Linked DNA regions of Caenorhabditis elegans. The protein of the gene in region 2 purifies or fractionates together with the protein of the main gene of each other region. This does not show direct contact. Each region holds a gene or a part of one and is shown on either strand. Other genes may lie near its edges.

Region 1 (5,675 bases), on a different chromosome or scaffold from region 2:
CTTCATAGATTTTATGTAATTTTTGATTTTCTGTTCCCTAATTTTATGATTATTATCCGAATTAAACTTTAAAAACATCAAAATCATTTGAAATTTCTTGTTTCCCTCCTTTTTTTTATTTGATAAATTTTCTGCGCAAGTGCGCTCCATTGAGAATACAAATGCTCTCTTTGGAATTAACGATTTTTAGTTTATATTTGTTGAGTGTTCGAGATTCTTTTATTGTTTTAATGGTTTGATTCCAGTTTAAAATGTTTCTTAATTTTATTTATTCCTAAAACAATCTATTCATGTAATATAACTCAATTTTAAAGACGATTTTCGAGAGAGAACAACGTTATAACTGTTTTTCTTAATTTATTTTCATTAAACCGCTGTATTCAACTTCTTTTATTGTTCAATACAATCCTGAATACCTAAAATTTGTTAGATGATTTCAAATAATAAACAAAATTCGCTAAAATTCAAGTAATTTGCAGATGAAGCATCAAGTCGAAACACAGGCTCTCCCCTACTCGACAATCATCCTTCACTGCCTGAAATACCCGGCAAAGGGTGTTTTTGGACTGCTGATTGGAAACAAGAAAGGAGACAAAGTCACGGTACAATTTTATTTGTTTAATTCATTAAATGCGAACATTTTAAATTAGTTGATCGTCATGTCGGTACGCTTATTTTCTCCAAAGACAGTCGTCTTTAATACCAATTATCGATATATTAGAATTGCTAAGCTGAAAGCAAGAAAAAATAATTACGCTCTCCACCTCAAAATGATGAACAGTTGCTGAAGAGAGCATAAAAAATACTTTTCTACGTTTTGAGAAGAGTTATGCGATACTAGATTTCTGAGTCAGGGAAATGTTTTAATTTAATGAATTTGCCATCCTATCTGATAATTTATTTTCCAGGTAACAAGTTGTGTTCCTCTTTGCCATGAATCCACTCCACTCGCACCTCCTCTGGAACTTGCCACAGCCCTCGTCCATGGAAAGTTTGGTGCCTCCCTCGTCGGCGTCTATTTCTCAAATGCAACTCCATCGGACACTTCTCTCAACGTTTATGCCACTCGACTCGCCGACAGAATATCTTCTGTTACCTCTTCGGCAGCGATTCTCGTACAAGTGATGAACGAAAGACTGGTGTCAGATTGTGAACAAGACCGCCTCGTGGCATATGAAAAAGATGGAGATAGTTGGAAAGAAACGAAGTAGGAAAAAACATTTGATGTTATATATTCATTTAGTATATTCATTTCAGAACGATTTTCCAAGGTTCCAACTTCTTGCGTGGCCTTCAAGCTGTTATTCAGAAGAAGTTGTACCGAGAGCTTTCCGATTTCGAAAACCATTTGGACAATCCCGAGTTCGACTTCTATAACACAAATCTGAGCAACAAACTCGTGCAAGTGGCGGAATTCAGAGCTTAAAAGCTGAAATTATTATCCTAATTCGTGTTTTCATAACTTATTGCAGTCATCTGAATATATTATATGTTTAATCCCCTTCCGTTTTCGGGTTGAATAAAAGATTTGATGACAGCTGAGTCGTGTAGGATTGGTTGCCATGAAAACGCATTAGAGAATGCGCAGGAATAGATGTCAACAAAAACGATGTTTTAGGTGGGAAGCAATACTTTATCAACATTCAGCAGAGATACGAAAACGGTGAAAACACCGGGAGACATAAGCAATCAGTTTATTCGTAGACCCATGAGTTGATGAATGGGCTGGCGTAGTCGTTGATCTCCTCCTGCTTGAACCAGTGAGCAATCTCGCGGTTGGCAGAGTCAACGGCATCGGATCCGTGGCAGATATTGCGTCCGGTTTGGATGCAGAAGTCTCCGCGGATGGTTCCTGGGGCGGAAGCGAGTGGGTTGGTAGCTCCGAGCATGGAACGTCCTTGCTTGACGACGTCAAGTCCTTGCCAGACCATGGCGACGACTGGTCCAGAGCTCATGTACTCGATGAGGGATGGGAAGAATGGTTTGTCCTTGAGGTCTTGGTAGTGAACCTAAAAATAATAATTTAACTGGTTGGGCCTAAAATTTTGTAATTTCGTGAAAACGTACCTCAAGATGGGCCTTGGAGGCGGTCATCTGCTTGAGAGCAACAAGCTTGTATCCGCGCTCTTCAAAACGAGCGATGATCTTTCCGACGAGACCACTGAAATTTAAAAAATTAGGATTTTGAAAATCCTAAAATCCATTGAGGATGCTAGAATAAGTTTCTTCAAAGATAACTAACCGGTGGACTCCATCAGGCTTGATGGCGATGAAGGTTCTCTCAGTGTTGCTCATTTTCGGACAATCCAACTTGGAACAGGTGTCAACAGCACAGGCGACAGCGACGAACGCAAGTGAAAAGAATAACCCGCCGGCGCCCATTCAATCAACTCCGACACAAATGAAACGAGTGTAACCGTACTTCAGCACGTGGCGAGACCCGACCTCGCAGCATTCTTGGCTTTGTGCCAGAATTGCAATGGAGCGCCTTTACTGACCACTGTTTTCGACCAATTTTTTTGGACACCAATTGAACCTTTTGCGAGAATTATGTTCTGTCAAACTGGTTTTCTTCATATGAAATTTCATCGGGATTATTGAACAAAAATCGGAATTTAACGTCACCTGTAACGTCAAAACACATTGAGAAGTGAATCGCTGCATTTGATATCTGAAAAAACGCGTGTGACATAAATAGTTTATTACACTTTGTCTCAAGTTCTATGACTTATGTCTGCTTTTCGTGTCTCCATGCAACAAGCACAAACGCTCTGCATATTCCCATTAAACTATTGTGCCTCGTTACGCGTCGAACTTTATTTCATGCTTGATGACCTGGCTCCGCAAATTTCTTTTTTCGTTTCAGACACTACTTCACAAAACTATTTGCAGTACAAGGAAACCGGTTCTCCCATATTCGCCACCTTCGACGCCCTATGTTTAGAATCGACTAAATGTAAGGTTGTCTATACTCTTTCTTTTCTGCCATCGACTACCATTTAACTGTTTGCCTACCAAACCGTGAGCTTTGTTTGCAGAACAAAGTGAGAGCAAAACTGTATCGAAACGGGGAAAGTCTCTCGGAAAGAGAGCCTCTGTCTTATCATTTATCACCTGCTGATTCGCGAACGAAGCCGATGGAGAGCGAAGTGTGAGTTTTGTAGATATTTTAAATTACAGAAATTGTTTCAATGATAAATTCTAATATAATTTATCTCATTCCAGTGTCCTTCCCACGAATGGGGTGATGAAAAAATGGACAAACTACGTGAATGGATGGCAAGATCGATACTTTGAAATCACAGAGGGAAATCTTGTTTATTATCTGTCAAAAGCCGAAAAATCCCACGGATGCAGAGGAAGCATATTTCTCAAAAGTGCAATAATAGCTGTGAGCTTTTATTGATTTCTCAGAAAGTTCTTGTATATTTAAAAATTTAGGCCCACGAATTTGATGAAAACGAATTCTCAATATCTATGGGCGAAAACGTTGTCTGGTATTTGAAAGCAGAGAATTCACAGTCAAAACTTCTATGGATGCGATCAGTTGTCCGGGAAACAGTGAGTGTTTTCTGAATCTGAATTTGGTATTTTTAAAACATAATTTTTTCAAAAAATTACTTCCCCAGCGATTCTCTCGGAGTAATTACGAGATAAAAAGTTGTATATTCTTCGTTTAAATATGCTCCGATCATAGTTCAAACACCTCTCTTATGTTCCTTTTTACATCAAAAACACCATTGTTGATCTTTACCTGATTTTGTCATCCCGTGTAAATATATAGTACGGACGGTGGCACACAAAAGTCAATTGAAAGTTCGGGAATAGTACGAGGCTATAAAATATAAAAAATCGTTCACTTCGAAATTCTACTTTTAGAATCAGAGAAATCAAGTTAAAACTTCAATGGGAAAATCAATAATTTTCAGGTACAAAACGATTCGGATTATAGCTCGACTAGCACTAAAAGTCATTCCCGTAATCCATCGGTTTCCTCAGTTCTTGCTACTAATAATCAAAAATCTGATGATAATGAATCAACGAAGCTTTTTGCCACGAAACTCTCCGAACTCGAAGCATACCGAACTATGTGCAAGGATCAGATGACATCAATCGAAAGACTTCTGGAACAAGGTGGAGCCAGTTGTATTGTCCCACAAGCCACGATTCTATCAGTAAAAGCAACACATTTAGCATTGATTGTTAATATTAATCATATCGTGGATCTCGTCAAGACTTCTAAAGTAACAATTTGCTGATAGTTTGAGAATTAAATCAAATAATTTTCAGGTGGTAATACCAAACATTCCATCTTCTTCTTCATCCACTCCACCACCATTTCGGGAACCTTTATGTGCAACTAGAAGTGTTTCTTCTTCTGTTCTTCGTCGTGAATCTATTGTTGAACAAGAATACATGTCTGACGATAATTCAACAATGACAACTTCTACGATTATTGCAAGACCTGATATTGATGTGGTGAGTTTTTTGTTAATATGTAAATTTAATTTCGAGAAAAGAAAATCCAAAAAAGTTTTAAAATCCTAATTCTTATCTATAAGATTATGTTAAATCAATTTTTCAGTAAAAAAATAACTCTCAGATAAGTTTTAGAATGTTCTAAAAATGCTCTATACTTGCTTCAAAGTCATTTTGCTCCCCGATCAGTGTAACGAAAGCTTGGCACTGTTATTGAGCATTTTTCAGAACTTACTGCAAAATTTAAAGTTTAAAGAAATTATTTTCTAAATACATTTTTTATATCAATTTCGGATCAAAAATTTATGAATCTATCGCAAAAAATACGCCAGACAATTTCTAAAATTTACAATTCTTGCAAATTTGCATATTTCTCATTCAGACAAGTGATTGTGATGAGTTCTTTGACGCCGACGAGTTTGATGTGGACTCGAAAAATGGAGATACCGTTGAAAAAAGACAAGAAGAGGTGGAAGACAAGAAAAATGGAAATATAGTTGTTCCAGAGGAAGAGAAAAAGAAGACTAGCTTCAGAATTGTAAGCTCATATTACAAGGATGCAAAATTTTGCGATTTTTAGCGCCTTTTTTATTAAATGCGAGAAGTGTACGCGCCTTTTAATTTTAATATAAGTTTTAAATAAATACATCTATAAATAAAAAATTAATTAAAATAAAATTCGCAGAAACGAGAGTTTTTGCCAAACTTTCCATATTTCTCTACTAAAACATGTGCTATTGCAGGAAGGAAACCCAGTTACTGGTCACTATGACGACCTCCTCGTGAGCCAAGAACACTCTCTTTACACCACAATCGATAAGCTCGCTCTAGAACAGCTCAAGTAAGTTTATCGTTTTAAAAATCATTTTCAAATTCTCAATATTTCTAGATATGCTCTTGCCGGTGCTGAGGATAATGTATGGAGTCTGTTCGCTGAAGACGGTCCAATGAGAATGTATACAAGACAAATTGAAGATGAAGGAGGTGTTCCTGTTGATCCATTAAAGGCGATACATGCAGTTGATGGTGTCACTGCACTGGAATTCATGCATTATTTCTATGATGCACGGTATAAAATGCAATGGGACCATACGCTGGAAGCGATGAGCGTTGTTGAGCACATTTCACCGGATTCTGTGGTTCTACATCAGAAACATAAAACAGTTTGGCCTGCTGCACCGAGAGAATCATTATTC
Region 2 (6,018 bases):
TAGGAGCATTACCTGGAAATCGGACAAGGAAACGTCGAATGATCAACGCCTCTGTCTGGATGCCACCTATGGAGAATGAGGAGAAGAATCGGAAAAACCATCAATCAATAACTTCAAGTCAGCATTCACTTCTGGAAGCTTCTTATGATGGTTATATCAAAAGGCAAAGAAATGAACTGCAACACTATTCCTTGTATCCAAATCCTCAAGGATACGGGAATGGAAATGATTTCCTTGGTGATTTCAACCATACCAATCTTCAAATTCCAACTGAACCTGAACCTGAAAGCCCCATCAAACTACACACAGAAGCTGCAGGAAGCTATGCAATTACTGAGCCTATTACTAGGGAATCCGTGAATATTATTGATCCAAGGCACAATAGAACGGTTTTGCATTGGATTGCATCGAATTCCTCAGCCGAAAAGTCAGAAGATTTGATTGTACATGAAGCTAAAGAATGTATTGCGGCAGGAGCCGATGTGAATGCTATGGATTGCGACGAGAACACCCCATTGATGCTGGCTGTTCTTGCAAGAAGACGACGGCTTGTGGCTTATCTGATGAAAGCTGGAGCCGATCCAACCATCTACAATAAATCTGAACGAAGTGCTCTTCATCAAGCGGCTGCAAATCGAGATTTTGGAATGATGGTCTACATGTTGAATAGTACAAAATTGAAGGGAGATATCGAAGAACTTGATAGAAACGGAATGACAGCCCTGATGATTGTAGCACATAATGAGGGAAGAGATCAAGTTGCATCTGCAAAGTTACTCGTTGAAAAAGGAGCAAAAGTTGATTATGATGGAGCTGCGAGAAAAGATTCAGAAAAGTATAAAGGCAGAACGGCACTTCACTATGCTGCCCAAGTGAGTAATATGCCAATTGTGAAGTATTTGGTTGGAGAGAAAGGATCCAATAAGGATAAGCAAGATGAAGATGGAAAGACGCCGATTATGTTAGCTGCACAGGAAGGACGTATTGAAGTTGTGATGTATTTGATTCAGCAAGGGGCTAGTGTTGAAGCGGTTGATGCTACGGTGAGTATTGTTTTTGGTATTCTACCGAATTTAAAGGCGAAAAGGGAATATCTATCAGAAAACTAGCTTGACGAACTCCTCGTCAAGCTCCACGTCGGATAGTTTTTTTCTGAGGTTCAATTTTGAATTTTTTCGCTACAGTAACCCTTGAAACTTTCGTGGTGAAACCCATGTTTTAAACGCTTTTTAGAGGTAGAATTTGACAGAGAACTCGAATTTAATACTTATTTCGTGGTTGAAAAATGCTTGCGCCTATAAATTACGCGTTTCGAAGTATATAAAAAATCAATTTAATCTAAAAATTTTCCAGGATCATACGGCTCGTCAACTCGCTCAAGCAAATAACCATCACAATATTGTTGATATTTTTGATAGATGTCGTCCAGAACGAGAATATTCAATGGATCTTCACATCCAACATACCCATCAACCACAACCTTCAAGAAAAGTAACTCGAGCTCCGAAGAAACAGACAAGTCGAAGCAAAAAAGAGTCAGCTTCCAATTCTCGAGACTCAACTCATCTGACACCTCCACCATCGGATGGATCAACGTCAACACCGTCACCACAGCATTTTATGAATACCACTCATACTACACCGACGAGTTTGAACTATTTGAGCCCAGAATATCAAACTGAAGCTGGAAGCTCAGAAGCGGTTAGTTTTAAGCTTCAACTGAACAGACGGGAAACAATGTAATTTTGCAATTAAAAATACGGTACCCGGTCTCGACACGACAAAGTTTTGTTAAATAGAACGTGCGCCTTTTAAGAATACTGTAGTTCGAATCTTGTGTTTTTGCGGATTTTTAAGTCTTTCCAATCTAAATAAGTGTTATGGTTTAAAAGTCTGGACAACAATAAAATCACATAAATGTAACAAGGAAATTCCGCAGCAACAAATGTTTGAAATTACAGTAATCTTTAAAGGCGCACACCTTTTCGCATTCAATAGAAATTTGTCGTGCCAAGACCGTTTTACGCGTATGTGTAATATACAAAGTTCAAATATAACGTACATAAATTAAAATAACGTTACTTTCAGTTCCAACCACAATGTGGAGCATTTGGAAATGGCGAAATGTGGTATACAAGAGCTTCAACATCGTACACCCAAATGCAGAATGAACCAATGACGCGATACTCCGAACCAGCTCATTATTTTTGAATCTTCTGAACAATCGTCATTTATTATTTAAATTCCTTATTTTCTAGAGCTATACGGGTTTCCATCTAAATTTTGCATAAGACTTGATGTTCTTTTTTTTGTTGCATTTCTTGATTGTATATGGGCTTACGGGTTGAAATGTTTTGTTGAATGTTACATTAATAAAAATTAGTGAATAATTTTCCGAGTATTGGCTCCACGAACGACTGAAACGATGTATGGGAAGCAGAGATTCATTGGAAGCTTTAAGGAAGACAATAAATTATATCAAACTGGAATTTTTGATGATTGCAAAATGAGAAAAAATTGAATTAGCTTATTGTTTTCCATTTCCATTTACTGGTGGGTTGATAGCAGCTCTCTTGTTGAGATATGCCTTGATGTTTGGACGCTCAGCGAATCTCTCGTGGAACTTCTTGAGTGCTGGAACACCATCAAGAGCATTTGGTGTGAGAATCAAATGAATGTCGAGCTCCTCGAACAGCACATAATCCGCATAGCTTTCCTTGTCTCCAATAACGTAGTGCTCTCCGTTCTTGTAGGTATGGAAAAGCTTCTCCAGACGAGCGAGCTCTCCTGGAAGAACGTCCTTGATGTACGGAGCCTTGCCGTCTTCGTAGTTTCTGTAGATCATAGTGGTGTACTTGGTGTGCAAATCACGAAGTCCTTCGTAGAACATGTCGATGAAAGTTGTCTCTGTCTCGTTGGAGCCATTGAGCCCTGAAAATTGTTTTATAAGATACCGGAAGAAAACATTTAAATGGTTACCATTAAGACGAGCGAGATGACGGATGATAGCTCCAGATTGAACAATCTCCTCGTCTCCGGATAGAAGACATGGAACCTGGCCGAAGATCTGAAAAATAATCATTTAATAAAAATAAATAAAACTTTGAAAACAATAACTCACCATCTTTGGTTTAATATCAGCCCATTGTTCATAGGTTACACGATGATCCTCGTAGGCAACTTGCTTGTCCGCGAGAAGAAGACGGATTGGCTCAGCGAGTCCGTGGATGTCGAAGTACGTGAGCTTGAGGGTCATATTGAACGAAGTTGAGTGAATACTGACTGAAAACAAACACTTGAAATGTGGAAACTGGTTTTTTTTGTTTTCAAGAGAGAATTAAGAAAAGAAATCGAATGTGAGAAGTGGACAAATAGAACGGCTTTTATAGTTCGTGGAGGTACTAGGGGTGCTAGACGAAACAAGCAAGAGAGAGCACTGGAATGAAAGAGAAAGACAACGTGGCCAGCACGAAAATGATGACAAAAAGTTGTTAAGATGATTACAATTGTTCTGGATGACGTTGAAATGCCAGAGAAGTTTCTAGAAAATTAACAATAGTTTAGTCTTGGCGCCGGTAGCAGATCAGAAAAAACACTGAAACGAGATTACTGTCAACAAAACGTGATGGCTAATTGAATACCGAAAGTTTTTTACCTATTGTTCCAGATATATATTGGCCTGAACGAAAAAACGGTTTTCAACTTATACACAAGAAATAAATTTAAGAAATATTCATATAAAAAATAAATAAGAAAAGAAAATATATAAAAATAAAAATAAGAAATACGGGGGTCGAAAATCATAAGGGACATAAGTCGGGGGAAATTATGCTAAAAGGAGCATAGAGAAAGTGTGCAATACCCGCTCTTGACAAATAAAATTATATTACAAAGTGAAGGGATGAGAGAAAAGGGACGATAAGGTTTTACGGGGGAAATTTGGGATACGAATACGGGGGAATTATGGGCTACATTGCAACGACGAATCATACGTGCGAATGTGAACTGGACGACATTGCCCGATTGACGTAGACTTGGACAAGGTTCAGCTTTCCAGACGACAGATTTTGAAGATGTGGCTCCATTGTCTTCATTCCCAACTTGTTCACCATCGCGACCAGACAGTAGACAGCAGTTTTCCGAACTGCAGACGATGGGGAATCGTAAGACTGCAAAGTAAAAATTTCATTAATGAATTGCGATGTTTGATAAATAGTTACCTTGATCACACATGGCGCCAAATCATCAACCACTGGGCTCAATTCGTCGGCTTGGAGACCTTCAAACAATCTGGTCATCATTTTCAGAACCAAGCTTGCTTTGGGTTCTTGAGCTTTCTCCTGCAAATACTGACAAACAGATTACCTAAATGTAAAAATTCTTGAACTTACCTCATTCAAAATGAGCTGCGAGATGTTAACCACCTTAGCCAGTGGAAGGTGGGTTGCCAGCGTTTTCAAGCAGTCATCAGCGGTCACGTTCATCGTTCCGTCTTGTGAGTTGACAGCAGCATCCAAAACTTTACAGATGGCCATTTCCGTAGAGTCGAACAAGCGCGATGCTTGCGAAGTGCACATCTTTGTCAAAACGCGCAGAGCTACTTTCTTGTTGGCGTCTGATTCGCTTTTGGAGAGCACATCGAAGACAGCGATCAACAGCTTGGCGAAGTTTTGCTCCCAAAGAGTGAATGAGCCTTCACACAACATTGTCTGGATCGACAAAAGTCCTTCGTATTGCTGAGCTCCCATGTCACCAGAGATCTGGGCCAGCTTCGACGCCACGTACTTGCTCTGCTCCGACGTATCGTCAATAAGATGCGTTGTTGAGTTGAGCTGAAAAATAATTTGAAGAAAGAATAGGAGGATGAAACTGACGGTCATTATTGAGCCAAAATGTAGAAATGATTTTTAACGTCTACGAAAAATATACTTTGCTGAACTACGCGCCTTACGTGGCCACTGAAACGAAGAAAGAGGGGGGGGGGGGGGGGGGTTCGAAATCCTCTGACCACTTGTCATTTAAAACCATTTTCTTTTAAATATAATGCTGTTAAATACCTTTAATCGGTCGAATGACTCATTGAAGCTGAGTTCCTCGTCTCTGTGCTGTGAATTCATTTCCGAAGACAGAGGACGAAGTGGTTCCGCATCGACTCGTTTGAAACCCGACGAAATGGCTCTTGTGCTAGGCGATTTTACTGGAGTCATATCAAGATTCCTCGACACGACGAAATCTTCTATCTGCGCAGCTGTAGTAGAAATCGTGGCTCGCACACAGGCCTCTTCAGAAACAGCATCTTGTTGTGGAACGTGTTGATCATGTCCGTGAGACTGAAGAACTTTGTATGCCCAATCGCGATAGTCGGGGTTGAAGTCGTTGAAAAGTGCAGAGAAGTCGGCGTTGTTCAATGCGAAGAGTGAGCAGAGTACTTTCTCGCCATGCTGAAAAATGCATATTGCTAAAATAAAGAGAGAGCTATAATTACCGGGGTGATCAACTGTTCATTCCTCTGATCTGCCATCCACGAAAACATCTTGAGAATGGTGGCCTTCATCTCTTTAGTGTTGAACGACGATCCTCGCTCCATATACTTCCCAAGAAGTTCATTGAGATATTCAAGAAGGACCACGCGACTCTTCGGGGACATTAGATGAATTGGATCGCACACCAGCTCGCATGTTGATTTCAATTGCAGGGTTGGATCAAACGATGACAGAATACAGCTGATGGTTGTGGAAATTTGCTTCTTACTGTTCAACGTCATCTCTGCTCCTTTCTTTGCAAACAGCTTTCCAAGGCCAAGCTTGAGCCAATCACTGAGACGGGGATGATGGGTTTTGACAAACGAACTGATTGATTCCAGCACAATCTGAAATAAAATGTTGCAATAAAAATTATTAAATTAAAATGTTCTACCTGGTTCGTGGATTCTCCGAGCAATCTGTTAAGAACCGCGCCCAGGCTTTTGATTTCGGCGTTGCTGAGATTTGGCTCCGAAACAATGCCTGCAAGCATTTT
Region 3 (5,778 bases), on a different chromosome or scaffold from region 2:
GTTGATTGTTTTAGAGGAAAAAAATAACAAAGATTTACGGTTTAATGGTGGGTGAAAGTTTAAGAAAACGGTTTACAATTTTGATGATAGAAGTTTTTTCGGCACTTTCTTTTTTTCTAGTGAACGCTAGACAAAATAAGAAAGTTTTGTGACCAAACGCTAAAAAATTCTTGGAGGTATGGGGAATTGAACCCCAGCCCTCTCCCATGCTAAGGGAGCGCTCTACCACTGAGCTATACCCCCGACGAGTGATTCGGGTGGCCAGGGCAAAAATTTTTTTGATAGCTTATCACTGATAAGAAGAAACTGCGATGGCCGCAAAATCATGTAATTTTTACGCAAAACTACGGTACATGGTCTTGAGACGAATGAAAAATTTTAATAGGGTGCAGAAAAGTGTGCGCCTTTAAAGAATACTGTAGTATGCTTCTCAACTTTTTTAGACCTTGTACATATTTTTCTTCTGCAACCAGGTACATAATCTGGTTGTATCAGTGATAAGCCACCGAAAAATTTTTTGCCCTGATCACCCGAATCACTCGTCGGGGGTATAGCTCAGTGGTAGAGCGCTCCCTTAGCATGGGAGAGGGCTGGGGTTCAATTCCCATTTTCCGTTCAATTTCACCTCCAGAAACTTTTTTTAGTGTTAGAAGTTTACACGATTTAAGTGCCAAAAGCTGTCCAAAATAGATTTTTGACCAAAAAAATAATTAAAAACACTTTGGTTTGAATAATTTGATGGAGCAAATCGCATTCCAAATATTTTTTGGAAACCAAAATCCAATCACCATTTTGACATTTCCAATCAAAACAACAAAAACATTTGAAAAGAAATGGGGTAAACTTGAGTGTGCTGATGTTGTACTTGTCAAACATGAAGCCTCCTGAGCACACAATATTGTAAATTAAAGTGCCACGTCATCATCTTCAACAGCAGCAGGAGAGCTTCCGTCTGCTCCTTCGTAGTTTTACGACCATTTTACTAGGGGCCAAACGTGCGCACACACATCTGCACAACTTGTAACATATGGGAGAAACAGAGAACTGGTAATAAAATTCGAATGAAGGCGTTGCGTGCTTCTTCTTCTGATGAAGGCCTCCACGTTTTAATTTCTTGAGAATATTTAAAATTTTCGACGAAGAAAAATAATTGGTTATCGTTCGAGGGATTCTTAAGAAAGTGAAAGTTTAAGCTCCTGACTCATTCGGGTCATACTTCCGAGTAGTTCTGAGTCAGAGGTAGGTTGAAATACATATTTACGAGCTTTTACTAACAAAATTTCCTCATAGACTTTTCTGGAAGCAGAGTCAAAAAAGGCAGGGATTTTAAAAATATTTCAGACAATTTTGGAAAACTGCGAAACAAATATATTTCAAAAATATTTCAATTTTCAAATATTTTAAAAATATATTTCAAATATATTTCAACATATTGAAACAGTTTTCTTAAAATGGCAAAGGTCTGATTTGATAGTCCAAAAGTAAGTTCGAACCTAATTTTGTTAAATTTTTAAACTAAACATATTGAAGTTATGCCCATCTTGAGGTTCATAGATGTAGATCAAACACAAACAGCCGAGCCTCTATCTCTCTTATTCTCCGTGAGCAACTTTCCGTTTTAAGTGCACGCGATTACCTATGTAGGCGCATGTGAAGCCTTATTGTACTACAGTGTGAGCCGCCCCGACAAACACTCGACTCAACAGCTTTTTCCTTCAAATTGTCAAAACAAAACAATACGAGAAAGAAGGCGAGACGTGAAACTTGGGAAAGTTATGTTGTTAGTTGCTGTAGCTTGGGTAAAGTAGTGATTGAGTACTGTATGATTACTGTAGTTTTGGAAAATGGGGGAATTTTGTAGGACATTGCGGAAACATGGAACTAGGTCCTAAATCCGGGCTTTCTACCGGAAATTTTGAGTTTGAAATTTCATAAACTATATTTTCTATTTCACCTGGAAAACTGGGCCCTGTAACGACAATTATGTCTGAGATCGTGGCGAGACCCACTTGGAAAAACATCATGTGCCTTTGAACTGGCAATTCCAGAACTCCGGACAAGCCAATCAAAAGACAAAATAGCTTGGAAAACTGTTAACTTTATCATCAAGTTGATCTTTATTCCATATTATTAAATACACGTTTCATAATATAAAGAAAATTTCAATTATTATATTTCCATTTAGAGCTTCTTGAATGGCTCGTTCTTGTCCAAATGGTTGTAGAAGCAATCACGGATCTCGTTGAAGTTCTCGGTACAGAAAGCATAGTCCAAATAGTTGGATGGAGCTCCCTTATGAGCGGTACAGTACTTGAGGCATTCTCCAGAGACACCGGCCTTCTTGCAGCAGTCCTCGTGGTTGTGACGGAGGGAAGCACAATCCCACATTTCTCCGACAGTTGGTCCACGCTCTCCGCAAGTCGACATGAAGTTCAGAATCTGAAATAAGAACGTGTAATGGTTATTTCTAGTAAGCTGACTAAATACATCAGAATTGACGCGCAACTAGCTCTCAGGAGACAACTTACGTTAGCTTGAGAAAGAGCATTGAAGTCACAGAATCGATCGACGCACTCCTTATCGGCATCCTTCAACGTGGCACAGCATAGCTTCAGCTTCTCATTTGGAGTAGCAGCAAGAGCAAGAAGTGGGAGAGCCAGGAGAATTGCGAAGCGGTTCATTCTAGAATTAATTACTATGAATATAGATATGTTAACTTTGAAAAATAAAAGAAAACTGCAACAGGTGGAAGATCGAAGAAATGAAGAATACACAGCCTATCGGTGTCAAGGCCCGGACTATTTAAAGGGTCACCCGGAAGACTCCACCTCTGACATATTGAGGTCAGGCTGTGATAATAAAAGAGATAAGATATCACTCCCTATCATAACAATCCTATTTCCTAGAACACCAGTCACCATTGTACTTTTATCGGATTTTTTGAGGCCGGTCAATGTTGCGAAAGATGAATTGCATGTAATAATGTATAGACTCTGTTATAAGAAGAAACATATAGAAAATATATATTTATTTTCTAGAAGAGATAGTTGGTGATAAAGTGAGAAAGAGGACACACACAGCCGTTTAATGGATTATTGCAGGTCAGGTCAGAAAGAGAAAAGTGGTTGGTACGAGAATTAGTTGTCATTGAAAAAGAGGTGATTAGTCATTTTTGAATCCATTTGCAATCAGAAGAGATAATGAAATGGCGACACCGAAGCAGATTCCAACAACGGCGAACATCCATGAGATTTGGATAAGTTGAAGACGCTCCGGTTTTTTGGAATTTTTTTCGGATTTTTCGATCTGTAAGTTGTGTCTTTTGTGGAACATTTTTTTGTGTTACAAATGTTGAATTGAAAAATTTGTGACGTTAAAGTTAGTCTTAATTTTTGTAGAATTTTTTGCTTGAAAATTTTAATAAAACATGTTCTTTTTACCTTAAAAATTCTAGTTTTTTTTCTCAAATTTGATGCAAAAAATTGCAATTCAGGTGCTTTGAACATTCAACAAAATTCTGAAAATTAAGAAAAAAATTCTCAAAAAATATTCAAACTTCTTGTGCGCGGGAATTCAAGTTTAAAACATTTTTAAACTCATTTTTCTCACTGTTTACCGAAACTATTAGTTTTACAAATGAGATATTATGTTTTGGATCACTAACTTTTTTAGAAACTTTTCCCCCTTTTCCACACTTCTTTAATACTAAATTATCAATTTTTGTTGCCAATAATTGAAATAAAAATAAATTAATCATTTAATCTCCAGTGATTTGGCCTATATTGCCCGTAGGAGTAAACTACATACGGACTGCTGGTTCATGTGATTCGCAACATGATATGGTATGATCTTCGTAGAAATGTTCTTATTGCATAGGATATTCCAACTTTAGAACTTTAAATGCAAATTGAAAAATCTTACCATTTCAACTTCCCTATACCCATTTCTCTGCTCGCTTTCCAAATACAAAACTACGAATCCTGTGGCGATACACAAAATGGTCGGCACACTGGTCAGCACAATTTCCATTGTTGGCTCTGACCATGTCTTTCGATAATTGGCGGCAGCCACGTAGATTGCGGCCACTTAATTTGTATAAAAAGTTTGAATTCTAGTCATGGAAACTTACCAGCAAAAGTGTAGGAGAGAAGGCCAACAATTCGATGAGCCCAATTAAAAATTGAACGTTGTGAGTTGGAAGGTGGGCATCTGGAATAAATAAAAAGTATAAAATTTTGCTATTTTTTTACAAAAATAAATCTACCTCAACAAACTATTCAACGGCTGGGAGAATGCCAGAATAGTAGAAATCGTTCCAAAATCCGTGTGCCATTGTGTCCAGTACCATGCTTCAGATCCAGTACCTTTCCAGGTCCAATTTGTTGAAATTAAAATGCACAAAATCGAGGTTACAATACAACAAACACCAATAAAAGTTGAGGCTCGATGAATTTGAAACCATACGAACATTCCGTAAATTGTATGATTTTTGAACACTTGCCGTCCATATCTTGCAAATAAAAATCCCGTTGGAACAAAGAAAAGCCATCCGAGAATCATTAGAATTGCATGTAATTTTACAAGTAATCGTTTGAATTCTTTACTCAGACCTTCAATTTTCGGATTGCAAATTTCATGGAAATTGAAGAATTCGGACTTTTCGTTGGACCATTTTAAGCTTGAAGATTCACTCTGAAAAATTAAAACTATTACAGGATATATTTCTGGCACCTACCATCAATAGAACATCCCCCGGATAAAAATCAATCTCACACGACGTTAAATTTTCAGATTTCAAAGTTTCTAGTTTGTAGGTTTTGACATCAATATTTGAGCTTCCAATGGGAAATCCGCAAACAAATTCAAGAAGGTTCACCTGCAAAAAAAACGAAATCAATAGAAGAGGCATCTCATATCTCAGTTGTCTTGAACTGATTCGTTAAATATTTTCTGTAGGTTTGTAGTTGAACATTTATCGATATCTCCAAAATAAACCAAAATAATGAGGAATCAAAGTTGATAAATTATCTCACCCCATTGTATATCTTCACTGCTGACCTTTTTTCCTCTGTTTTCCATTTCAAACTCATGAATCCATCGTTTTTATTGCAAGTAACTGTGATATTCACACGACTTGGTGAAAAACAAAATGAATTCGCCGGGCATTTTGCAGTAGAAAATACAAAACCACTGGCAAGTAGAAAAAGAGTAGAGTAGTGATACATTTTGCACTACCTTTGTGTTTTCTCCTTTTTGTATAAATAGGCATTTGAAATGTCATCATCGAACTGGTATTTCAAGTGACCAGCGGACGCAAAAGGGAGAAGAGAGCAACTGGAATGTGGTGGATTAGGAAGAGACGCAGAGTTTGTGACACTGATCTTATCTCACTGATCTTGTACATTTTTTGGGGGGACTTATTGGAGGTATTACGAAAATCAGTTTTTGGTAAAAATCAAAATAGGCGGATCGACGTGTTTTTTAAACATTAATAAAATGATGTCATGTTCTTGGTAACCAATGGTTACCACAGCGATGAAAATTAATAATAACTTTTTAACATAAATAAACTTTGACCACGAGTTTGCAATGTCTGGTTATTTTTAAGTTTTTCTAGAGACTTCAGTTTTCATATATATTTTGTTAATTTTTTGAAATAATTTATGAAAATTTAGAATGTTAAAAAAAAATTTGACTGAAGATATTCATACTAATTACCAAAAAAAAAACTTACCGCATGTTTTCTATTAGTACCGCACCCAATTGCTCCACATTTAA
Region 4 (7,339 bases), on a different chromosome or scaffold from region 2:
TGCATAAACTTCACGCCTGGAATGGTGATCAAATCAGTTTTGCGGTCTCCGATCTGGAAAAAAATTGTTAGGACTTAAAAAACAAATTGAAAGTATTACCACAACAGTGTCTTTTGCATCAAATCCTTGGAAAGTTCCAAGATTATTCTTGTACGTGTACTTATTTCCATATGCATAGTAAGACGACGACTTTGCTTGGTTGAATCTTCTCTTGTTGTAGCAATTATTTGCGGTCTCTGAAACATTTTCCAGTTTGTATCTTTTTCACTCTTATCAGTAGTGTGGAGTTTTCAAAATTAGGAATGTTATGTGCACTAAGTGATAGTCTTTGACCGATAATCAACATAAAAAACGATTTTAGTGCCGATATAATAGGGCAAATTGTCAGCAAAAGCTGACAAAAACTGTCATCATTTCGTGATTATGTTCGAGATGTTTTATACATTTAAAAGTCGTAAAACTATCAAATTGCAATCAAGAAAGCGATTGGTTGAAACTCACTGCAACTCATATCTGGAATAACAATGTCAGCGGTCGAAGTGTCAATGACAACAGTGAAAAGTTGTCCTGGTGTTCCCATGGTCAAGTTAGCAACGAAGAAGGTTGAGGTTTGCTCCAGAGTTTGTCCTCCTGGAATTAAACTTCAGTTTTGAAAATCTAAGGAACTTGTGTATTATATACCAAAAGTAATTTTCAGTACAAAACAATTCACTAGTGGAATGTAATAGATTTAGAAAACCATTATTCCTAACAAGGGAAGGCTCTGAACTCGTTATCGGACTTCGTTACGCCACTATATACATTCGATAGAGAATAGTTACAGATGATCACTCCAAAAATTTAGCTGCTTCAGAGCAGGTTTGATCAAGTTACGACATTTTGAAAGTGCCAAAATACCCCTTTTTAAAAATTCCAAAAAAATCAAAAAAAAAAAGTTTTTTTCTAAAAGTTGATATAAAATGTTTTCAAATAGTTGGAAATGATGGAAAAATCATACCACACAAGTTTCAGTTCATAATTCTCAAAACAACCAATATATAATTGGAAATCAACCGCAACATTGTGTTTGTAAGTTATAAGCTTTATTCTAAGTTAAATACATTCTACTCAATGTCGTAAAGGAAATAATGTTTGTTCATTCACTGTACATTTTATGTGGCTTCGGGATATATATATACGTGCTCTTAAAACAACTTACCGCTCTCCACTATTATTACTCCCAGTTACGTGTCTATCCCTATTTTGAATAAAATATAACGTTAATGTACCATTAAATGTTCATGTTCAATCAAACGTGATCGAAATTTTTATACGCTTCGGAAAATAATTCAAAAAAAAAATCAAAAATAATGCTTAAATGTTCATTTTAAATTTTGTAAAGGCTTCCATTTACAAACACCAAATTTCACTTTATCTGAAACAAATCTGTAAATTCTCATACTCACCTTTGGTAATGTTGGTAACTGCAGCATGAACTTTGAAAGGAATCACAAAAGCTGAGGTCGAGGCCACAAAGGCCAAAAGCAAGATTGTCTTGATCATGATTGAACTGAGAATGATTTCCAAGCAACCAGCTCTCCTATTTATTCGCTCATGCTTTGAACTGATAACATAGAAACCAAAAAATCGTGACAAACCCCTATCATTTTCGACACTGCACACTTCCACTTTCATCACTTTTCGTGGGCTTCAGAACTTTATTCGACGAGATACTACTAACAAACGAGAGAATGAAACAAAAAGCAAAACGATTTAATTACGATGATTTTAGATATCGGCTGGCAGGACTTTTCCGCGGCACTCTCCGAAACCAATTCTGACTCCATTCTTTTCACAAACTCCAGAAAGGTTGACCTCATCTCCGTCCTTTAAGAACTTTCGGATTTCTGAGCCAACTGGAACTTCTTTGGCTCCGCGCCACGAAAGCTCGAGCATGGATCCATATGCACCTTCTTCTGGTCCAGATACAGTTCCTGATCCCAAAAGATCTCCAGCGCGGAGGTTGCATCCATTGACGGTGTGGTGAGCAAGTTGTTGTTTTAGAGTCCAATACAAATGCTAGAAATTACAGTATTGTAGTTGAGAAAACCTTAACGAGCGTTTATGATCCAATTTACAGTGAACAGTGTAGATAATATCGTTTCTACTAAACTTGAACATACCTTGAAGTTAGTTTTACAGACAATATGGTCCACAGCATCTCCTTCTGGACGGATACTGACGGCCAAATTGATGTCAAGGGTAAATGGGTCATCGTGATGGAGATATGCTGGTGGAACTGGATCTTGTACTGGATTCTCAACAAAGTATGGACGAAGAGCTTCAATTGAGACGACCCATGGAGAAACAGTTGTGGCAAAGGATTTAGCAAGGAATGGGCCGAGTGGAACGTATTCCCAAGCTTGGATATCGCGAGCTGGAAAAGTTTTTTTTCGGATGAGTATGGAGCAAACTTGAAAATAACTACTGTTGAATTTTCTTGTCACCAAAATGTCGAGTTTAAATGTTTTTGTTTGATATTTAATTAACATCGTTACTCACCACTCCAGTCGTTCATGAGCACAACTCCAAAGATACGATCCTCAGCCTTCTCGATTGGAACACGAGTTCCCAATTCATTTTCTGGACCTCCCACAAAGAACGCCATCTCGAGCTCAAAGTCCATAAGCTTTGATGGACCAAACGATGGAACCTCAGCTGAAAGCGGACACATTTGCATTATTGGTGCAAATCTAAATCTTACCATCTGGGGCCTTAGTTTGTCCAACTGGTCTTTTCAAGTCTGTTCCAGATACAACGATTGATGAAGCTCTTCCGTGGTATCCGACCGGAAGCCACTTCCAGTTTGGCATCAGAGCATTTTCCTTTCCACGGAACATGATTCCGACGTTGGTGGCGTGATGGATGGAGGAGTAGAAATCGGTGTAATCTCCGATTTGAGCTGGAAGGTGCATTGTAGCATCGGATTGAGCGACAAGAGCCCGGCTTCTGTAAATAAAAACATAAGAATATTATTACAAAGTTTCTTGGTTGTTTTAAACAGAGTTATATGTAAGTTGTGCGCAAAACGTACAAAGCTTCTAATTACAGTATGAGATTTCAATTTATAAATCAAAAATTAATATAAAAATGTAGGTTTTTCTCGATTTTGAAATAGATTTTTTTAAAAATAATGCCTACAAGTCGCCAACAAAGTTTAACGATATATTTAAAGTCAAATGAAGTATTTCAAAAACTTTGACGGGTTTCCAGGCGTTCTCAATAAAATAATTTTTTTCAGATTGACCGAACATTTTCACATACTTCTATATACATTTCAACTTGCCAACTTGCTGCACAGTATTGATTCAACTTTGCAATTATAAACTAACGATAAAAATTAAAACTTGTGAAATAGTTGTTTAGATTTGGTTAGTAGATTATCAGACACACTTTGTACTACTTTTTAACTTTTTCAAATTTGTTTTGCCAACTTATTCACCTCAAATGAGCGTTATCCCTAAGAACAGCACAATCCTCTGAGAGCAGTTGTTGGATTCTTGCACGAGCTTCCAACCAGGCTGGACGTGGCAGTGCCATGAACGCGTTCAATGTGCTCTGCTTGAAAACATCCTGATGTGCCTTCAATTGAGGTCCGTCAAAAAGATTGGCAATTTCTGCCAAGTTGAGGATTTGATCTCCAATTGCAACTCCAATGTGGCGGGAAGACTGAAAATATTTAGTTTAATTTTGCTTTAGAAATAATTATTTATACACTTACGTCAGCCTTTGTTGAGAAAACACCATACGGTAAGTTTTGAATTGGGAAATCCGAGTTTTGAGGAACAGAAACGAAGGATTTCATGATTTAGCCTGCAAAGCAATACAAGTTTTGAAAAATGGAGTTGAGTAGACAGCAGTCTGTTATGTCTCCGAAACTGTACACGCATGCGGCGTTGAAACAGAAAATAGCATACAGGTTGGAGAGGGTGCTAGTGACAAATACAAAAAGGAGTCGTACACGCATAGGCCAAGGTCGATACACGACTAAACGACCACCAATAAAAACAAAACGATAACCAAAAAAAATGACTGCACACAGACAGTGACAATGACAGATGTGCACCACTGAAACCGCTATATAAGGTCTCACAAATCTAATTGAAAAGATAAGATGATGATAGTGACGTCAATTGGATAAAACAATAGAGTATATCAGATAAGTTTTGACAAGAGAGAGAAAACTACATTGGATGCAAATTGAATTGCGAAACAGTCACGTGATGATTTTTTCTTGAATGTTTGGATGGCATTATTCTATAGTTGTTTGTTTGCATTGGCAATGATACTGTTTCATGAATAAAAAGCAAGTAGGAGTATGACGATTTTAAAGAGTGGAGAACTAGTGTTTTTTAGAGTTGCTTATGTTTATAATATAGAAATCTCAATTCCATGAAGATAAATTGCTACTAAAACGCTTTTTATATCAGAAGAAAAACGGTCTCTAGCAATTTGTATCTTAGAAAACTCTTACCACCATTTCGAGTAGAGAAAACGTTTCACAATCGGATGTAGGTTTTTAACCTGTAGATTTCAGATCACCACAGCCTGCTGAGCAGGTCAAAAGTTGTAACTTAAAGGTGAGTTGTATTGTTAAATATTATCGGTAATTGATAAACAGGTACGGCGAGTGAAATGGTCAAAAAAATATAAAAATAATTTATTTCTATAATAAAGGGTTGTAATACACAAGAAACATTTTTTAAGGTTAAACATTTTGAAAATACAAACACCAACAGCGATGAACTATTGAATTAACACTTTCTCTACTGTCGTTGAGTATAAGTGTTAGTTTCAAACTTTTTATATCTTGTTGGATTTTGCTTTTACGAAATCAAATTGAATTAAAAACTTTCAAAAAATTAATTTATTGAAGCCAGTAGTGGACAGAAAAAGCAGGAAATACAGACAAAAAAAAAACACCAAATAAGTTTATTGCAATGGTTTGAATGCATAACAGGTGACATCTTCCTTAAATGCTTGGCAGAATGTATCGGTATGAGCTATGTAACTGAATTCTCCTGTACCACAAATAACGTTCACCTCATGGCCTAGTGTTTCTTCGGCAATTTTCTGAATGTTCCTCTTTGATTCACTTGCATCTTCGCTAATATTCTGAAAAGAGAGTAGGCTTGACGTGCAAAACGAGTGTACTCACATCAAGGATAATGTTTTTCAGTTCGGAACTGTTACACGAAGGGTCGATTGTTTTGGCTGCAAATGCGGCGCGTCTCACACTTTTGTACTTGCATGGCGATGAGCAGCCACAGCAACAATCGTTCTGAAATGATATTTTCTTAAAGGTTCTTTCAAAAATCTACCAACCTGAGCTGGAATTCTGACTGATGGTACAACTGCACCACCTCCACATCCTCCAGCTGTTGGCATTGGCTGAGGCATCATTGGCTGATAGTACTGGGGAACATATGATGGGTAGAACGATGGTCGTTGCATCATACACGGGCAAGATGGTCTCGGCATTGGTGGAGGTGGTGGAGGGCATGGCATTGGCGGTGGTGGAGGCGGAGGACAAATTGGTGGTGGTGGACAGAATCTGTGAACAAGCATGTGAATATTCTAGGTTTATTGCTGAAACTTACTGAGCCGGGCATGGTGGAGGTGGAGGACAGACTGGCATTGGCATCGGCATTGGCATCGGTGCAGCACATGGCATTCTTGGTTGGCACATTGGAGTCGGGCATCCTCCACACCCTCCTCTACCAAATGGGTACTGAGCAAAGGCAAAATGAAATGAAATCTGAAAATCCGAATGAGTAAAAGAGATATTCGATGATTCATTGCTTACCAAGAAAACTGCAACCGACAAAGTACTCATATTGCGCAAATATGGAATGGAAGTGGAAGAAGCTATGGTTTCCGACCACACACGCGGATATTTATACTACTTCGCACGTGCAACTGGTTTTTTGGGGGAAATTCTGAGTTTCAAGAAGATGCTGTGACCTTTAGAAGCTTTTCGATATTGAATCATATTGTGTTCTCAATGTTTCAAGTACGGGAAAAATGGAAAGAATTATTAAAATGCAAAAAGTTGAAGGTTGAATATTACCATTCTTTAAAAAAGTACGACGTTAAGTTTTTTAAAACAAAATCACGATGATGTAAAACGAGCATTTTTGCAATTGACAATTATATTAGTGCGGGCAAATTTGAAAGTGATTCATTAATAGTTTTTCCAATCAGCACAGTTTTAGCCACAAACTGTTTGTGGTTAAAAGTATGTTCCACCCGTCGGGCTCTGTTGTGTGAATTAAAACATTTGGTTTAAGATACATTTCTTATTTGAAAAAAAAAACGTGATGATTTTTCTGTGAACATGTACATCTTTTTTGTTTCCAATTATCTTTGCATTTCTTTTAGTCCCGAATTTCCATATTTCTTTTTCGAAACATATCATAAGAATTTTGAAATTTTTTTGAATTTTACAAATTCGGTGTCTTTTTCGGAAATATTAACTGTTGCGTCTATAAAACTGTGTTCCATATTCTCAAAGATAATTTTGAACATTTTTTATTCGACCTTTGCGAACTTTGTATTTTGGTTTCAATTCGAAAATTCTCTGAAGAGCGAAGCATTCAAATTCACTTTATTTGCACATCCTTTAAGGATGATCCTTAGACAGTTATCTGAAGGTCATAGATGTTATGATTCAAACTAGATTCCGCTTCTCCTTCTATTTTTCTTATTCAGTTCGGATGCGTCACCCCTGTTCTCACTGGAACACAGACACCTCTTGAAAGAACAAATCTGGCACAACACCACCCATTGAGACGTTTTACACGATGTGAGACTGAATTTCGGAAGTTATCAATTTAAATTTTTCAGTTCCTAGTTCTTACTCTGAGTTTGAAGAACACTGCGTTTTCCCCTGGTGGTTCCTTGTGCACATGGCTGAGTATTACAGACTCTTGTTTGTTTAGCTGATCTTCTGGAAAAAAAAACTGTTAAATTAATTAGGACTTTTTAAAGCTTACAAGCAATTCGTTGTACTTGTACATCTTTCTCTATACTGAGTACCACAAGAACCACAATTTTCAGAGCATCTTGTCCAACCGGACCACAGTAAAGAATAACTTCTTGGAGCAGCAACCCTGACAGGGGGTGGTCTTTGAGTGGGAGCTGTACCATCTAAAACTTGTCGTGGTTAGATTCAAAAATCACAAATAATAAACCTTCTCTATATCTGAGTACAAATTGTGAGTTCTGAGTAGCTTTTGAAATAATCAGAACACTGTTTCCTTTGCTAATTCGTTCACCAAGGACGGCTTTGCAACACTGC

Evidence for each region.
Region 1: the proteins of gst-1 (region 2) and ndk-1 fractionate together in Caenorhabditis elegans (co-fractionation; one large-scale study listed by BioGRID). This does not show direct contact.
Region 3: the proteins of gst-1 (region 2) and dbd-2 fractionate together in Caenorhabditis elegans (co-fractionation; one large-scale study listed by BioGRID). This does not show direct contact.
Region 4: the proteins of gst-1 (region 2) and fah-1 fractionate together in Caenorhabditis elegans (co-fractionation; one large-scale study listed by BioGRID). This does not show direct contact.

Annotation. Positions count from the first base shown.
Region 1 is NC_003279.8:10,551,500-10,557,174, forward strand, and holds ndk-1 (Nucleoside diphosphate kinase), read right to left. Parts: upstream 2,415-5,675; 5' UTR 2,296-2,414; coding exon 2,243-2,295; intron 2,162-2,242; coding exon 2,068-2,161; intron 2,010-2,067; coding exon 1,695-2,009; 3' UTR 1,620-1,694; downstream 1-1,619. Other genes in the region: F25H2.4 (MPN domain-containing protein), read left to right, coding at 480-602, 909-1,207, 1,258-1,426; cert-1 (Ceramide transfer protein), read left to right, coding at 3,138-3,151, 3,226-3,391, 3,442-3,561, 3,930-4,244, 4,291-4,479, 4,862-5,017, 5,223-5,320, 5,369-5,675.
Region 2 is NC_003281.10:9,056,595-9,062,612, reverse strand, and holds gst-1 (Glutathione S-transferase P), read right to left. Parts: upstream 3,283-6,018; 5' UTR 3,257-3,282; coding exon 3,122-3,256; intron 3,068-3,121; coding exon 2,980-3,067; intron 2,932-2,979; coding exon 2,528-2,931; 3' UTR 2,432-2,527; downstream 1-2,431. Other genes in the region: lin-12 (lin-12/Notch intracellular domain), read left to right, coding at 1-1,043, 1,354-1,701, 2,089-2,211; cls-2 (TOG domain-containing protein), read right to left, coding at 3,987-4,169, 4,221-4,349, 4,392-4,832, 5,058-5,441, 5,486-5,869, 5,917-6,018. UniProt on the Caenorhabditis elegans protein: Conjugation of reduced glutathione to a wide number of exogenous and endogenous hydrophobic electrophiles. Prevents dopaminergic CEP neuron degeneration in response to Mn(2+).
Region 3 is NC_003280.10:4,559,854-4,565,631, reverse strand, and holds dbd-2 (DB domain-containing protein), read right to left. Parts: upstream 2,683-5,778; 5' UTR 2,682-2,682; coding exon 2,529-2,681; intron 2,440-2,528; coding exon 2,182-2,439; 3' UTR 2,172-2,181; downstream 1-2,171. Other genes in the region: M03A1.8 (ascorbate ferrireductase (transmembrane)), read right to left, coding at 3,163-3,306, 3,922-4,085, 4,130-4,209, 4,265-4,692, 4,736-4,876, 5,034-5,225.
Region 4 is NC_003284.9:6,445,065-6,452,403, forward strand, and holds fah-1 (Fumarylacetoacetase), read right to left. Parts: upstream 3,853-7,339; 5' UTR 3,845-3,852; coding exon 3,761-3,844; intron 3,709-3,760; coding exon 3,482-3,708; intron 2,989-3,481; coding exon 2,744-2,988; intron 2,698-2,743; coding exon 2,542-2,697; intron 2,417-2,541; coding exon 2,163-2,416; intron 2,059-2,162; coding exon 1,768-2,058; 3' UTR 1,682-1,767; downstream 1-1,681. Other genes in the region: asp-14 (Peptidase A1 domain-containing protein), read right to left, coding at 1-53, 100-236, 502-630, 1,446-1,542; grl-6 (Ground-like domain-containing protein), read right to left, coding at 4,972-5,154, 5,198-5,320, 5,365-5,593, 5,640-5,797, 5,846-5,875; K10C2.6 (Serpentine Receptor, class BC (Class B-like)), read left to right, coding at 6,377-6,718; Zinc metalloproteinase nas-33, read right to left, coding at 6,747-6,850, 6,900-6,988, 7,035-7,188, 7,233-7,339. UniProt on the Caenorhabditis elegans protein: Fumarylacetoacetase involved in the tyrosine degradation pathway.